Drosophila melanogaster: one gene and its partner. The protein of the gene in region 1 interacts with the protein of each later gene in a pairwise test. Each region holds a gene or a part of one and is shown on either strand. Other genes may lie near its edges.

Evidence for each region.
Region 2: the proteins of TM9SF3 (region 1) and Sys1 interact in a two-hybrid assay, tested with the Drosophila melanogaster proteins (one large-scale study listed by BioGRID).

What each region holds. Positions count from the first base shown.
Region 1 is NT_037436.4:5,598,809-5,608,450, reverse strand, and holds TM9SF3 (transmembrane 9 superfamily protein member 3), read left to right. Parts: upstream 1-4,471; 5' UTR 4,472-4,652; coding exon 4,653-4,763; intron 4,764-4,821; coding exon 4,822-5,379; intron 5,380-5,496; coding exon 5,497-6,461; intron 6,462-6,517; coding exon 6,518-6,662; 3' UTR 6,663-7,355; downstream 7,356-9,642. Other genes in the region: Eaf6 (Esa1-associated factor 6), read left to right, coding at 218-364, 432-645, 768-899, 986-1,170; mthl2 (methuselah-like 2), read right to left, coding at 1,635-1,728, 1,785-1,979, 2,041-2,212, 2,277-2,528, 2,589-2,765, 2,828-2,981, 3,045-3,557; CG10591 (uncharacterized protein), read left to right, coding at 8,794-8,830, 8,892-9,642.
Region 2 is NT_033777.3:8,651,336-8,656,506, reverse strand, and holds Sys1 (Sys1 golgi trafficking protein), read right to left. Parts: upstream 3,497-5,171; 5' UTR 3,387-3,496; coding exon 3,222-3,386; intron 3,152-3,221; coding exon 3,030-3,151; intron 2,962-3,029; coding exon 2,766-2,961; 3' UTR 2,660-2,765; downstream 1-2,659. Other genes in the region: bel (belle), read left to right, coding at 1-529, 601-722; CG42489 (uncharacterized protein), read left to right, coding at 2,398-2,631; Dhod (dihydroorotate dehydrogenase), read left to right, coding at 3,723-3,770, 3,825-4,994; SLIRP2 (SRA stem-loop interacting RNA binding protein 2), read right to left, coding at 5,115-5,171.

The DNA of each region.
Region 1 (9,642 bases):
AAACTAATAGTTTATAAATTAGCTTGTTAAAGAAAAACGACAACGCCACCTATGCAATTAGGTTAAGAACTAGCATGCATATTTCAGCAAAGACATAAACCGATAGTCGGAACAGATATCCGTAAATCGATTAATTGTAATTACTTTTTATCAATATCCGGTCACATTGTCCAAAACAAAATATAAATTTGTTGAAATTCGAGCATTTTCTGAAAATATGAGCTCGCCAACGAGTAAAAATGTCAGCGAAACGAACGGGAACAAGCCAAAGAAGTCGGCCAAAACGAGCTCGAATACGAAAGGCGGCTCCATGGACACTCGCGCCGAGTTGGCGGACCTCATCAAGAAGAAGGCCGAAACATCGGTGAGACACAATATAAACAAACCCGAAATCGCAGCACTTTATCATTTTTTTGTTGCATAAATGACAGGAACAACTGGCCAATCTGGAGCGACAGATCTACGCCTTCGAGGGCTCCTACCTAGAGGACACGCAGTTGTGCGGAAACATCATCCGAGGCTGGGAGCGCTATCTGACCTCCAACAAGGCCACCAACTCCAAGGCCGACAAGCGGAATCGCAAGTTCAAGGAGGCCGAGCGCCTGTTCTCCAAGTCCAGCATCACCTCCATGGCTATATGCAATCGTAAGTGGGGGATAATTCATACTGTGTCATTCGCTTGTGTAATCGATCTAGGCTTTATGCCCAGAAGGGTGTAAATTGATACGCTTTAGTTGCCATACATGAGTATGTTTATTCGCCTTTAGCTGAGCGCGCCAGCGAATCGGATTCCATCACAAATGAAGACTCCAGCGACAATCAGATCTCAATCAATCAGAACACCACAACGGCCCACGACGGAACCACGACAATCAAGAGCACACCGAAAGACGAAAAGGGTAAGGCAGCACAGCACATTGAGATTCAACTTTAGCGCTTTTCTCCAGAAAAGTATATATGTTTAATTACACCTTTTTATTTACAGATTCACCCTCGCATCGCAATGAGGGCAGCGTAGTGAGCGGAATGGTGTCTGGATCTACGAACAGTGGAGGGAACAAGGATCTCCTCGGCACACCCACTTCGAATACAAAGAGCAAACTATCCACGAACTCCAGTGCGACAGCGAAGAAAAGCGGTCACATAAACAAGAAGATTCGACATCGATGATAACTGCTACCGTGTAATCCGCATCTGATAAAGCACTATTTACCTTCAAAGTTTTTAAATTAAAATTTGTACATGAAATAAAGCGAATGTAGATTTACAAACTTAGTTTATTTCCATACAAATGTCTTCTTTCTACATTTATCACTTCAATATTTAAAGGCAACTACTTTCAGCATCGCGTCATACTTTTGACTCATAGTTTTGATAGACATACAGGGTTTTTCCTCGGCTCAAAGTTAAGTTTGCAATAGTTTGATTAGGAAATGATGAGTAAAATATATTGTGGCACACTATAGTCGATTTTCTATAGTCGATGCACGTCATATAAAGAAAAATATTCATACATTTTGTGATTAAATGAATTCTATATAGAATGTAGAATGAAGTGAAATATATTCATACATTTTGTGAGAAAAAAAGTTATACTTTACTATTAAATTGATTAATTCGAAGAGAAGAAAATACTATGTCATGTTAAAATGCCTTTTTGTTTGAGAAATGGATTCAATCGTACTTTGAGTTGCAGATCTACTAAAGGCTCTCTGTTTGGGAAATATTCTGAAAAGAGACATTTTAGGGAACTGGTTACCCGAACTATGAACTATAAGACTTACTGTTTCTTGAATAGTACAAGAGTTTTGCGCCGCAGAATGAATAGCACAAATATAATGACGCCTTGGGACCAGTTGAAGTAGTCAGCTACCAGAAAGATATTGACCCACAGTTTCTCGCGTTGCACCAAGTAGGAGAATATCTCAAAGCTCCACGACATCCCCATCACAGTGAAGAGCAGCAGAAATTGTGTGTAACTGTAACGAATTGATAATATTTATCTTAAACTGACATTTTCAACTATTATAATTGATATACTTCTGTTTGTCCGAATTCAGCTTCTGTATTCTACCTTCATTGCGAGCAATCTTTCGAAGAGTCCTCTTGGAATCTATTATGTGTTTAGCCGTCAGAACAAACATAGTTATGTTGAAGAGAATCAGGAGCACCATCGGTCCATAGAAGTACACCATTGCAGACCAGCTTTTAGCTGAGGGTGGAAAGAAAAACATTGGTGAGCTGGTACCACAAGCCGGATACAAAACAGAACCCACTATAGATCCAGCAATGCCCTTCGTCGCCCACGCGAGGCTGCCACTCCTCGTTGTTCACAACGTTATCAGCCAGATAGGTGACTCCGGTCAAGGCCAAAGGCATTGCCCAGGCGAAGCAGCTGTATAGCAGAAACGCACGTTCTGACCGAATGTTCATCGAGGCACAGGGATTGGTAAGACATTTCCAATAGTGCCGACTGATGATAGATAGCCAAAAGAACGCAGCCATGACGAAAAAGTATCCCAAGAAACCTGTCGTAAATGGTCAATGGTTTGTCAAGTTGTGTTGAAATGCATCCCCTCTAAGCTAACCTGCTGCTTTACAGAAATCGAGCGATAACTCCCACAGATCAAGGAGTAGGAACAGGTATCCGAAAAATAGGCACATCATGTAACAGATGAAACACTTGCCCTCCAAATTCATTAGCTTCTTAACGCACAGGTACACGGCGATGGTAAGAACCAAGCATATCAACGATGTGATCATCACTATGGAAATAGGAAAGATATAGAACTGGGAGCTACCATGCAAGCAATGGGCATCATCTTACCAACGGTCTGTCCCGTTCTGGATGGCAGTATCAAGCAGTTGTGGGGTATAATGCGAATGGAGTTGTTGTTACCTTCGCCGAATGTTCGGTGCTGCAGACAGTACTCCGACTTGTCCAAATACACTTGATCGTAGTGGCGCAGCAATCTTCCATTCTGCAGAGAGCCAAAGCATAAATAAATCCTGCCCAAAAATGCTTATTTTTCGAGCAGCCATACCTCGAACAAGGTGTACTCATCCATTATATCCCGGTTGTCTAGGTAAAACATATCATCGCAGGGCTTTGGCAGATCCCACTGCACCATGAGCTCCTTCTTATAGTGCCTTTGCACCACTGATCCGTCGTCCAGGGTCACATTTAGCATGGGGTCCAGTAATTCGTTCTCCTCCGTCGTCATGTTGGCGTAGCATTCGCCCATATCCATTATGTGGTCATGTGGGCAGCAAAACCTGACGCAAGTCCTTAGCTTGCACACACATCCTCTCACGTGACTTGGCACCTGCTCCTTATCTCCATTCGCCAGAAGCTTGAATTCATACTTGGCCGTCAAATGGGCGGGAATAAGTAATCCCTCGTAGAGGTATGATCCATTCGAGAGCCTCTGGCCTTCCGAGATATCAACGGTATCATAGAAACTGCAGTCGGCAATCTCAGCACTCGAAGATTGCAGATTCAGCAAGAAATATATTAGGATCGATGCAGAAAGTAACATTTTTGAACTAGCAATCATATAGTTAGCTGGACATTCTTTAAATATTACTTAAATAAATAAGAATGTAGTGGTACTACAAAATAGCAGCGACTTCACTTTGCGGATGCTGTTTTACGATTGGCACAAACTAACTGGGAAAGCGTTATGAAAAGGGAATGTAAAAATTATTATTTTGATAAAAAAGGCTTATCGGACATTCCAATTCGTTGCTCATTTCTGAGCCATCTTTTTTTCCTACTGAGCGAGGGTTGATAAATTATGTATAAAACTTAAATTATGTATGTATTATTCAAGCAACTGCTTAGGTAAACTATTCTTTTTCTTTTATTCTTTTTTTTTTACATATTAACAATAGTATTACATAAGCTTATTTATATAAATAAATCATTTAAAAAACACAATTTTTAACTTTTCAAAAGTAATGCAGCTTATCAGTTTTCTGTAGCATAAAATAAAATATAAATGGAATTTTAAGTATTTGGTACTGACTGTAGGTTCCTTAAAAACTATTTGTGAGATACATTCGAATAGCCCGCCAAGGTGATTCCGCTATGCGATAGTTGGTATTTTTGTAACGTTTTTCCCATCGATACGTTCCCAGTCACGTTTTCGTTGGCATTAGAAGTGGAGAAACATCGATGTTGGCGAACATCCATGTTTTCGATGTCTTTGGCAAAAAACAAATAAATTGATCTTTAAAAAAAAAACTTACATTTCAGATATTTATCCATGTCTTCCAAGACACCAGCCTACACCACCGGCGAGTCACAATAAATATGCAATATGCTATTAATAATTGTATTAGAAAATATGGAAATTAATTTAGACTTACAATTTACACACTTTGCTGTTTCTATGCGCTGAAAACATCGACGATTCCTCGAAAAACATCGACGTTTTTGATTTTTCGAAAACATCGATGACATCGATGTTGGCATCGATGTTTCTCCACCTCTAAGATACAACCCTAAAATATTTCTGCTGTCGGCAAATCTGAGTGTTTGCCACAAAACTGTTTGAAAACGCAATCCCAGCGAGGGCAACCGAATCAGGCCGGCAGAGCGAGGTCACCAGGAAGACGCGCAAACGAGGTCACCACCTGCACAAGACACAATGGGCAGCAGCGCCACGCAAACCACGGTGCCGTTCCGTGCAATTTGTTTATGTCTGCTGATCGCCAGCTGCTACGTGTCGCTCTCCCAGGCAGATGAGCACAATCACAAGGTGAGTCCGGATGCCACATCCCTCGAGCACCGAATACATGATCCACTTTGCCACGCAGTACAATGACCGGGAGGAGGTGGTACTGTGGATGAACACGGTGGGCCCGTACCACAATCGGCAGGAGACGTACGCGTACTTCTCTCTCCCCTTTTGCAGTGGCCAGAAGTCCTCGATATCGCACTACCACGAGACGCTGAGCGAGGCGCTGCAAGGAGTCGAGCTAGAGTTCAGTGGCTACGAGATGGAGTTCAAGAGCGACGCCCCCAAATCGGTCATCTGCATGGTCACCTTGCAGGAGGAGAGCGCCAAGGCATTCACCTATGCCGTGAAGAACGAGTACTGGTACCAGATGTACATCGATGGACTGCCCATTTGGGGAAAAGTCGGTGAGCGCGACGAGCGCGATGGCAAGTACTATATCTTCACGCACAAGAAGTTCGACATCGGCTACAATGGCCAGCAAATCGTGGATATCACCCTGACCACCGAGGGCCGCGAGGAACTCAAGCCGGGATCCCACATCAACTTCTCCTACGAGGTCAACTGGAAGCCCAGCAAGGTGGAGTTCAAGAATCGATTCGACAAGTACCTGGATCCCAACTTCTTCCAGCACAGGGTGCGTATAGTTCAACTAGTTTTACTCCACAACTTTCAAATGAATCATATTCTATATAAATAGCAAGAGGAAAAGGTCAAAGTTTGATGACATCATCTTTTCTTTAATCTTTTCTAGATCCACTGGTTCAGCATCTTCAACAGCTTCATGATGGTCATCTTCCTGGTGGGTCTGGTGTCCATGATTCTGATGCGAACTCTGCGCAAGGATTATGCTCGGTACAGTAAGGACGAGGAAATCGACGACATGGAGCGAGATCTTGGTGATGAATACGGCTGGAAGCAGGTGCATGGCGATGTCTTCCGTTCTCCGCCCAACACACTGCTCTTCTCGGCGTTGGTGGGCGCTGGATACCAACTGATTTCGGTTGTATTCTGTGTGATCATGTTCGCCATAGTTGGTGAATTGTACACGGAACGCGGCTCCATGCTGTCCACGGCTATATTTGTGTATGCCGCCACCTCACCAATCAATGGATACTTTGGAGGATCGCTCTATGCCCGCCTGGGTGGACGCATGTGGATCCGACAGATGCTGGTGTCCGCTTTTACAGTTCCAGTGGCTGTGTGCGGCACGGCTTTCCTGATCAACTTCATTGCCATTGGATATCACGCGTCGAGAGCCATTCCCTTCGGTACCATGGTGGCGGTCACTTGCATCTGCCTGTTTGTCATCCTGCCCTTGACTCTGGTGGGTACTGTCGTGGGCCGCAATCTGGACGGCCAACCAGACTTTCCATGCCGCGTCAACGCGGTGCCACGACCCATTCCCGAAAAGAAGTGGTACATGGAGCCACTGATTATTGTGCTTCTTGGCGGTGTCTTGCCCTTTGGATCCATCTTCATTGAGATGTACTTCATCTTCACCTCCTTCTGGGCGTACAAGATCTACTACGTCTACGGCTTCATGTTGCTGGTTTTCAGCATCCTGACTGTGGTCACCGTGTGCGTCACCATCGTGTGCACCTACTTCCTGCTAAATGCCGAAGATTACCGATGGCAGTGGACGAGTTTCATGGCTGCGGGCTCCACGTCGATTTACGTGTACGCCTATTCCTTCTATTACTTCTTCTTTAAAACCAAGTAAGATGCCTTTTTCTAGCATATTATCCATATATTTATATTTCATTACTTTACAGAATGTTCGGTCTGTTCCAAACGGCCTTCTACTTTGGCTACATGGCACTCTTCAGCGGCGCCTTGGGCATTATCTGCGGCACCGTCGGCTATGTGGGCACGAATCTCTTCGTGCGCAAAATCTATTCCAATGTGAAAATAGACTAAGAGCCCTGCGACTGCAAACCCACCCCCAGATCTGTATATCATCCTAATCGATTAACAATTGTATTTATTGAGTAGAGTTTTAGTTCTGTTTCACAACTTTAGCTCCAGTTGGCTCTCCTCTTTTCGTCTCTTTGGGTTACCCACTTCTCATGTTGGTGTGAAAATGAATGCCAGTCCAATATATTCGCACCAAAGATAAAAGATTCAGTTTAACGATGTATACGCAAACTACATATATCACCTAAAAGGTTTACTTCGGAATTATAAGACTAGACGTTTCAAATGAGAAAATTTGGGAAAACATTGTGAATTAAAAGCTCTTTCTGTTGCATTTACGTTTTGCTAGTTTTAAGAGTCAATTAATCCTATACACTAATTTTTGGTTTTGTAATTTCTACTGTTCCATAAAATAACATTTCTCTACTTACTTAAATTACTAAGAAGCTTGCTTACACAAAATATTTGATATATTTCCGAAGATAACTTTTATGTCATATATGTGCGTATGTTACGTTGCATACGGTGTACATCGAGTATTTTATTTGAATTGTTTGCCTAGAAAACTTATCAATCTATGCAACTGCAACAAAATGTGACTTGAACTTGTTTGCGCCAATTAAGTTATGTACGATGCAAGAAATGTGCTGATTAGCAATAGTCGATAATCTAATAATAAATTCAATATATAAAACCAAAAAAAAAGTTTATGACAGTATAAGCCCCCTTCATCTTGGCCATTATCAGCGAACACACAGATCGTTTCACTTTTACTATTTTTGATTCACTCGGTAACATTGACCCTCAAATTGTTTTCCAATTACTGGGAGGCAAACAACTTCAACGGTCTTATCATCCCATTTATTAGGGGGCCAATTCTGGCACTTCCATTCGTTTTCTTTTCGTTTGGGAGCACAGGATGGATGGAGTACTTTGGGGTTATTCCATGACAACACCATTGATAAAGCCTTTCGGATTCTTGTCGTTAACTGATGATGTTCGATTTGTCTCAAGTAACTGAACTATGTTTATATTACGTATACGACCAATCACTGCAGTGTTTACACACAGTGTGTCTTATACCCTAAAATGTTTGGTGAGCTTTCCAGAATCAACTATATGAATAAATGACTTAAGTTGTTTCAAATACAAGCAACTTTCAAAAATATTATCAGTATAAGTACTGAATAATTTTCCTTCAGCACTAAGTACGTTTTAATTCAAAGTTTCGGAAGTTTGGTAAGATAACCTATGGACATACCTTTGAGATTAGCAGTTTCTAGTAAACAACTATTTTGAAGTGTATCGAATGGTTTCAACTGCTGCCACAAGCCACCCTTCATCCGGATTTACTTCTCTGCTTATCGGGACTTTCAAGAGGCCCAGTGTCATCATAGTTCCAGGGAACGGCGCTAGTTTGGAAGTGAACACCTACGGAGTGGGCACTCGTCCACTAATGACGCGTGTTTTCGGTGGGCTTTGTCTCGTCAATGGAATTCTGTGATAAGTCGGAAATGTTACAGAGCCTTTTCATTTCTAGCCGTGGTAGTGTGGTAACTGATTGGAAACATATTGATTTCGTAATTTATGCTAATTCTGGGCAGTGGAAACTGTAAAGGCGCTTGGGATAATCCCTGAAGAGTTTCCGTTTTGATGAAAAGGCAATTCAAAAATCTGGGTGTCACTTTGATGGGTATCGCCCACATTTGGTCACATAAACTCTACAATCTGATCACTGTTTATGACCTGATAGACAGTTGATGTATTTTTGAAGTTGTCCCGCTGATTGCGGCTGGCTGGCCAAGAATCAAACCGAGAACCCTGCTGACCCAGTTTAAAGGCTTGTCGTCGGGCCTAATGATGTTCGTGTATATTTTGTTGCATAAATTATCATAATTGTCACTGCGCCGACTGGGTGATGGCATTTTTCCTTTTGATCGCTTAGCATTTCCCTTTCGATGGTGGGTTAAGAACAGTTATAGAGATGCGGGAAATGTGTTTTCTGTTCGATCTAGAGATTATTTTGTATATTTTCTATGCATATTAAAACGTAGCTCTCGAGTTTTTCAGCTTATAAAAGCCGAATTCGAATTTTGGATCTCAGTCCGATCTGAAGAGAAATCCGAAGTACATCATGAGTTTTTTGGGACTCTTGGCTTTTCTGGTTGCTGGTAAGTTTATAAAACATTTATAAATTTTTCTACAATATTACAATACCATATATTCCATCAGGTCTTTGCTCCACCGCCCAGGCTTCGTTGGTGAAATGCTCTTGTGATCCTGGTCCACAGGGGGAACGAGGACCTCCAGGTCCGCCTGGACCTCCTGGCAATCAGAACGGTCTCTCTGGCAGTGGTTCTGGCTACTGGGGCTATCCACCCACAGGTCCTTACCCCCCAAATCTGCCTTTCATCCAGGGGCCTAGAGGCTTACCAGGACCGCCTGGTCCTCCTGGATATTGTTTCCCATGCCCAGCTCCTCCACCTTTGAGATCCTTTCCGCCACCGGGAGTTCCAGTCCCTCCTTTCATTTCCACCCCAGGTGGTGGCGGATTTGGTGGAGCCTCTGCATTGACCACCGCTGTGGGCAACATTATAGTGATTCCAGGAGGACCAGGAACGGGATTAGCTGGTCGCGCTCAGTTCTTCCACATTTCACCCGATGGCCAGGTGGTGCAGATCGATCGACCGCAGAATCTGCCCAGTGAACTGTTCGATACACCGGTGAACCAAGGTTCCGGTGCTCCCATTCCTCCACCGCAACCCACATCGTCATCTCTCTCGGGGATCACACCACCAGCAGTCCAAGTGCCACCAACTCAACCCACGCCCGGCGATCTGGGAGCCCAGCAGCCCACAATTTTGCCCGAGAATATGGAGGAAACTGTGTTTGCGGTTGGCAATCGCAAGGACTTCCTGCGAGGTAGCTCCGATGCCAGCGATTGGAGAAGGATTCTCCTCCTGGGAGAGCGACCCACCGATGG
Region 2 (5,171 bases), on another chromosome or scaffold:
GTCACTAGCATCCACGGTGATCGCACGCAGAAGGAGCGCGAGGAGGCACTGCGCTGCTTCCGATCGGGCGACTGCCCCATCCTGGTGGCCACAGCCGTGGCCGCTCGTGGCCTGGACATTCCGCACGTTAAGCACGTTATTAACTTTGACCTGCCCTCGGATGTGGAGGAGTATGTCCACCGTATCGGGCGTACCGGACGTATGGGTAATCTTGGTGTGGCCACCTCCTTTTTCAACGAAAAGAACCGCAACATTTGCTCCGATCTCTTGGAGCTGCTGATCGAAACGAAGCAGGAGATCCCCAGTTTCATGGAGGATATGAGTTCGGATCGCGGACATGGCGGAGCCAAGCGGGCTGGACGAGGCGGTGGTGGACGTTATGGTGGCGGCTTCGGCTCCAGGGATTACCGTCAAAGCTCTGGCGGCGGCGGTGGCGGACGCAGTGGACCGCCACCACGTAGCGGTGGTTCCGGATCAGGAGGCGGCGGCGGCAGTTACCGCAGCAATGGAAACTCGTACGGTAAGTTTGGTGAGTGTGGAATCATCCATCAGCAGTAATCAGTTTAAAGGCAGAAACTTAACAGTGGATTTCCTTTACAGGCGGCAATTCGGGCGGCGGTGGATACTATGGCGGCGGCGCCGGTGGTGGCTCCTATGGCGGCTCCTACGGCGGCGGCAGTGCCTCGCACTCTTCGAACGCACCCGACTGGTGGGCTCAATGAGCAAGGCCTCAGCTTCAGGCAAAGGACCTGGGCCAGCAGCAGCAGCAGCATCAGCAGTCGCATCGTAGCCACTTTCGCAAATAACCAAACGGAGTAAAACAAAGTCGATAACAACTATATATGTGTACACACGTATACTATATAGGAACAGCAAATGTGAAAGAGAAACTGTCTGTGCGCAGCGCAACACAAATCACGAAAATACAGAAAAGATACACAGATGCACCCTCCACCCCACCCTCGTTTAGCAATTCACTCCTCTCTCACAACCTCAAAAACCAGGAGCAAGCGTTAATAATAAACTGTGCAAGTCCATCGCGAAAGTATATTACATTCATGTATAGCCAGCCCAAGCCGCCCTCCATTTCCATCTCACCCATCATTATATTTTATGAATTCGATGCGCGTAGTTGAAGGATATGCAAGCAAACACATACATATTTAAAATATGCTAAACAACCACAAATATTAAGAATATTTAAGCAAATGATAAAATTTTTGAATTTTTGTCCATAAGTTACAATTCTCACACATCATTTTTCTTGGAACTCTTAATATACATATATATATATATATATATATGTATTCTTATATATATATATATATATATCTAGACATAAATATTGTCAATGTCGGATCGAAACGATGAAAGCGCAAATCCTTGAACTTCAATTGATGATTTTAAACGAAGAAAACATAAAAATAGTAATGGTATATATATTATTAAATATATAGATCGAGATAGAATGTACTATATGAAACAAGAAACCAACACAAACAAGTAATTAAAACAAAAAAAAAACAAGTTTGCTAAACTAAAGCTTAATAATTTAGCAAATGAGAAAAAGAACTCGCATGGTTGTTTTTAATTTTTTCTGCATTTGGTGTAACAGGTGATTTTTTTGGGATTGGCAGATCGTGTCCGATAACGCTGTAAAGCACCAACGTTTACTAATTCCTTGGCGCCCTATTATCTTTTCATAAATATGTTCAATTAAGATTTATTTACTTACTGATATCACTTTTTGAGTTAGCTCCATTGATAAGAATTGGCAAGTTGCCTGTTCTTTGGTTTTAGTTCAGTACGCTTTTCGAACCAATACGTTTCGATGTAAGAGATCATTGGATTTTCAACCGCGACGAGCTGCTGGCCATATTATCAAAATAATTAAGGAGTGGAATATCCATAGGATAGGTTAGTAACCTTTAGGAGCTTCTCAGATGAGAGCTTTGTCGCCGGTTTCCCAGCGGCAAAGCTTCAATTATGCACATTTAAGCAATCAGTATAATTGAATGTTCGAAACGTGGGGAGCGAGAATGTAAGTAGGAAATGCATCAAATAGTGCCGAGGATGTGACGATCGTGGCGATGCCTACCCGTTTGCTAATTAGATTAGATAGGGCAAGTTGATTAGTTTGCTCTGATGTTTTCTAAAGAGGGGAGCTTGTCGATTTGTCGTTGTTTGTTTGCCAGATAAATTTGCTTGAACAGCAAAGCTCTACGCTTCTTGATCGCTGGATTTTGAAATAATAAACAGCGTGGGCGCTTGACTAGGCCACACCCCGTTTTATTATTATTTTCGGCAGTCCGGCGGAAATTTTCAGTGCACTCCCAGTTGTATTCGCGGATCTCAGCTGTGTCAATTTCAGACTGTCAACATATAAACACGACGAGGATGCAGAAGCCACATCATGGTCCGTGCTGGATGTTGCTTCTACTGGCATCGCTGATCGGTACTTTTATGCTGGCCTTCAGCTACTGGATGTTTGTGCCGCGCGAGGAGTCACTATGGTCAATGATATCGAACTACAGTGGATCTGGAATAAAGTACTCCCTGCCGCCGTCAGCAGTACCTGAGGAACTTAAGCTTCGGCAGAGACCGCCCTTCGTTTACCAGATATTACATTGAAAGTAGAAGTACAATATAGTGTTTATATGCTATGTAATCTTACGCTAGTTTAACAATAAATTACATGTACACAGAAGCTGCTTTGGGTGGCTTGGTTGGGGGGGTAGCAGGCATCACAAGTTGGTGGCTTCGAGTCAGACGTCCGACTTTTGATTGAGGGCCGCATAGCCCACTGGGATCTCCTTCATCTCGGTCTGCAGGCAGAGAAACTCGCCGCCTATGCACATTATTGTGCCGGTGATGACATTCAGTAGCCACCACGATGCGTTCGCGGGAAAGGAGCGGTTGTACCACCAGCAGATCAGCAAATGCAGCACGTGGAAGGTGCAACTGCCATGAAAGGGAAGCATGAGTTGTAAAAGCAAAAGATTAAGTGTGTGCACTAGCTATAAGCCCACCTAAAGTCCAGACAGAGCTTGGCTCTTCTCACAATGCACCACAGTGCCAGGGAGGCTAAGAACGCATTTAAAACAAATGCGCAGATCACCAGGCGGCCACCCATGTCGTAGATGTGGATCTCCTTTAAGCAACATTAAATCAAAGTAAGGAGAGGGGTTTCCATGATATATGGTATATAGCATATGGCATACATGGTATTCGAACAAGTGATCCAGACTATAGTTGTCCCCGGACAACTTGTTGGCCACGAAGACGAGTAGGCCAAGGGTGAAGTACACGCAGAACTGCATGGACACAATCTGTGAGGACAGCAGCGTGGGATCCCACTGCGTGTTGCGAAAGGTGCCGCCCTTCATGGTTGCCTCGGGTGGCCAAATCAGCGTTTAGAGAACGAAATTTCTAATTTTTAGCTGGCCATAACAAACTGACTCAACCATTAGAGGTGACACTGGAGGACTATCGATTCTCTTCGGCATGGTTGTGAATAGAAGGGGTTCATTTGCTACACAGAAAAAAAAGAAAATTATTGATGCTTGCCGTAGTAACTATATATCGCATGAGTTTTCCTTCAAAATGGCCAGACTTACTCCCAAATTGAATTTTCGTTAAAACTCTAGTACATGCATTTACTTTTTTACATATTATACTTTTAATACTCTATCGGGTACAATCGATATCCGGCGATAGTCGTCATGGATCAGGATCACTTAAAGAATGCTAAAAACGCCACGCGGAGAGTTGTGAGTAAAGTACGGCTTAAACGGGACCGGATTACAGAATGATTCCGCCCACAGGGTCGTTTGCGGTCGCTGGGAATCGTTACAGTCGGAGGAGCTGCCTTGGTGGCGGGCATTACGGCATACAAGAACCAGGACCAGTTGTTCCGGACCTTCGTGATGCCAGCGGTGCGACTTCTTCCGGCGGAAGCCAGCCATCAACTGGCCGTGCTGGCGTGCAAGTACCGCCTGTGCCCGGTTTCACAGTACCATGATGACCAGAACTTGCACACGTCGTTCTTTGGCCGGATGCTTAGCAATCCCATTGGCATTGCAGCGGGATTCGATAAGAACGCGGAGGCGGTGGACGGCCTGCAGGATCTAGGATTCGGATTTATAGAGGTGGGCACAGTTACCCCGGCGGCTCAGGAGGGCAATCCCAAGCCGAGAGTATTCCGGTTGACCGAGGACAAGGCCATCATTAATCGGTACGGATTTAATAGCGACGGGCATCAGGCCGTGCTCCAACGGCTGCGCTTGCTCCGCAAAAAGGAGAACTTCAATGGAGTTGTGGGCGTGAATCTGGGCCGGAACAAGACCACCATGAGCCCGATAGCGGATTATGTACAGGGTGTTCGGGTTTTCGGGCCCGTAGCAGACTACCTGGTCATTAATGTGAGCAGTCCGAACACCAAGGGCCTGCGCGATATGCAGAGCAAGGAGAAGCTAAGAGAGCTCCTGGAACAGGTCAACGACACGAAATCCTCCCTGGATAAGAACAAGAATGTGCCTATACTCTTGAAACTTTCGCCGGATCTATCTTTGGACGACATGAAGGACATCGTGTGGGTAATCAAGCGCAAGAAGAGCCGCGTGGATGGCCTGATCGTTTCAAACACCACGGTGTCGCGGGAAAACATCGAAAAGAACAAGCTGGCCGAGGAAACTGGCGGATTAAGTGGTCCTCCACTCAAGGCCCGCTCCACAGAGATGATCGCCCAGATGTACCAGCTCACCGATGGAAAGATTCCCATCATAGGCGTCGGCGGAGTGGCTTCCGGCTATGATGCATACGAAAAGATCGAAGCTGGAGCTTCCTACGTCCAAATCTACACGGCTTTAGTGTACGAGGGACCCGCTCTTGTGGAAGACATTAAGGCGGAGCTGTCGGCGCTGATCACACGGCTGGGTCACACTAATGTTGCGGACGTGGTGGGCACCAACAGCAAGTTCTACTTGCCCAAATGAATCAAAGATGCCACGATTTGAAGCAAGTGCTGCATTCATTTGTGTAAAACTAAGCTGTTAACAAACATTTCTCATGCTTTTCCTTTGGTCTAACCAATAAATCATTAAATTCTTCATTGATTAACTCTGAGGACTTTCATTCGCCCGCTGGACTGTGAGCACTCGTCCATCGAGGAA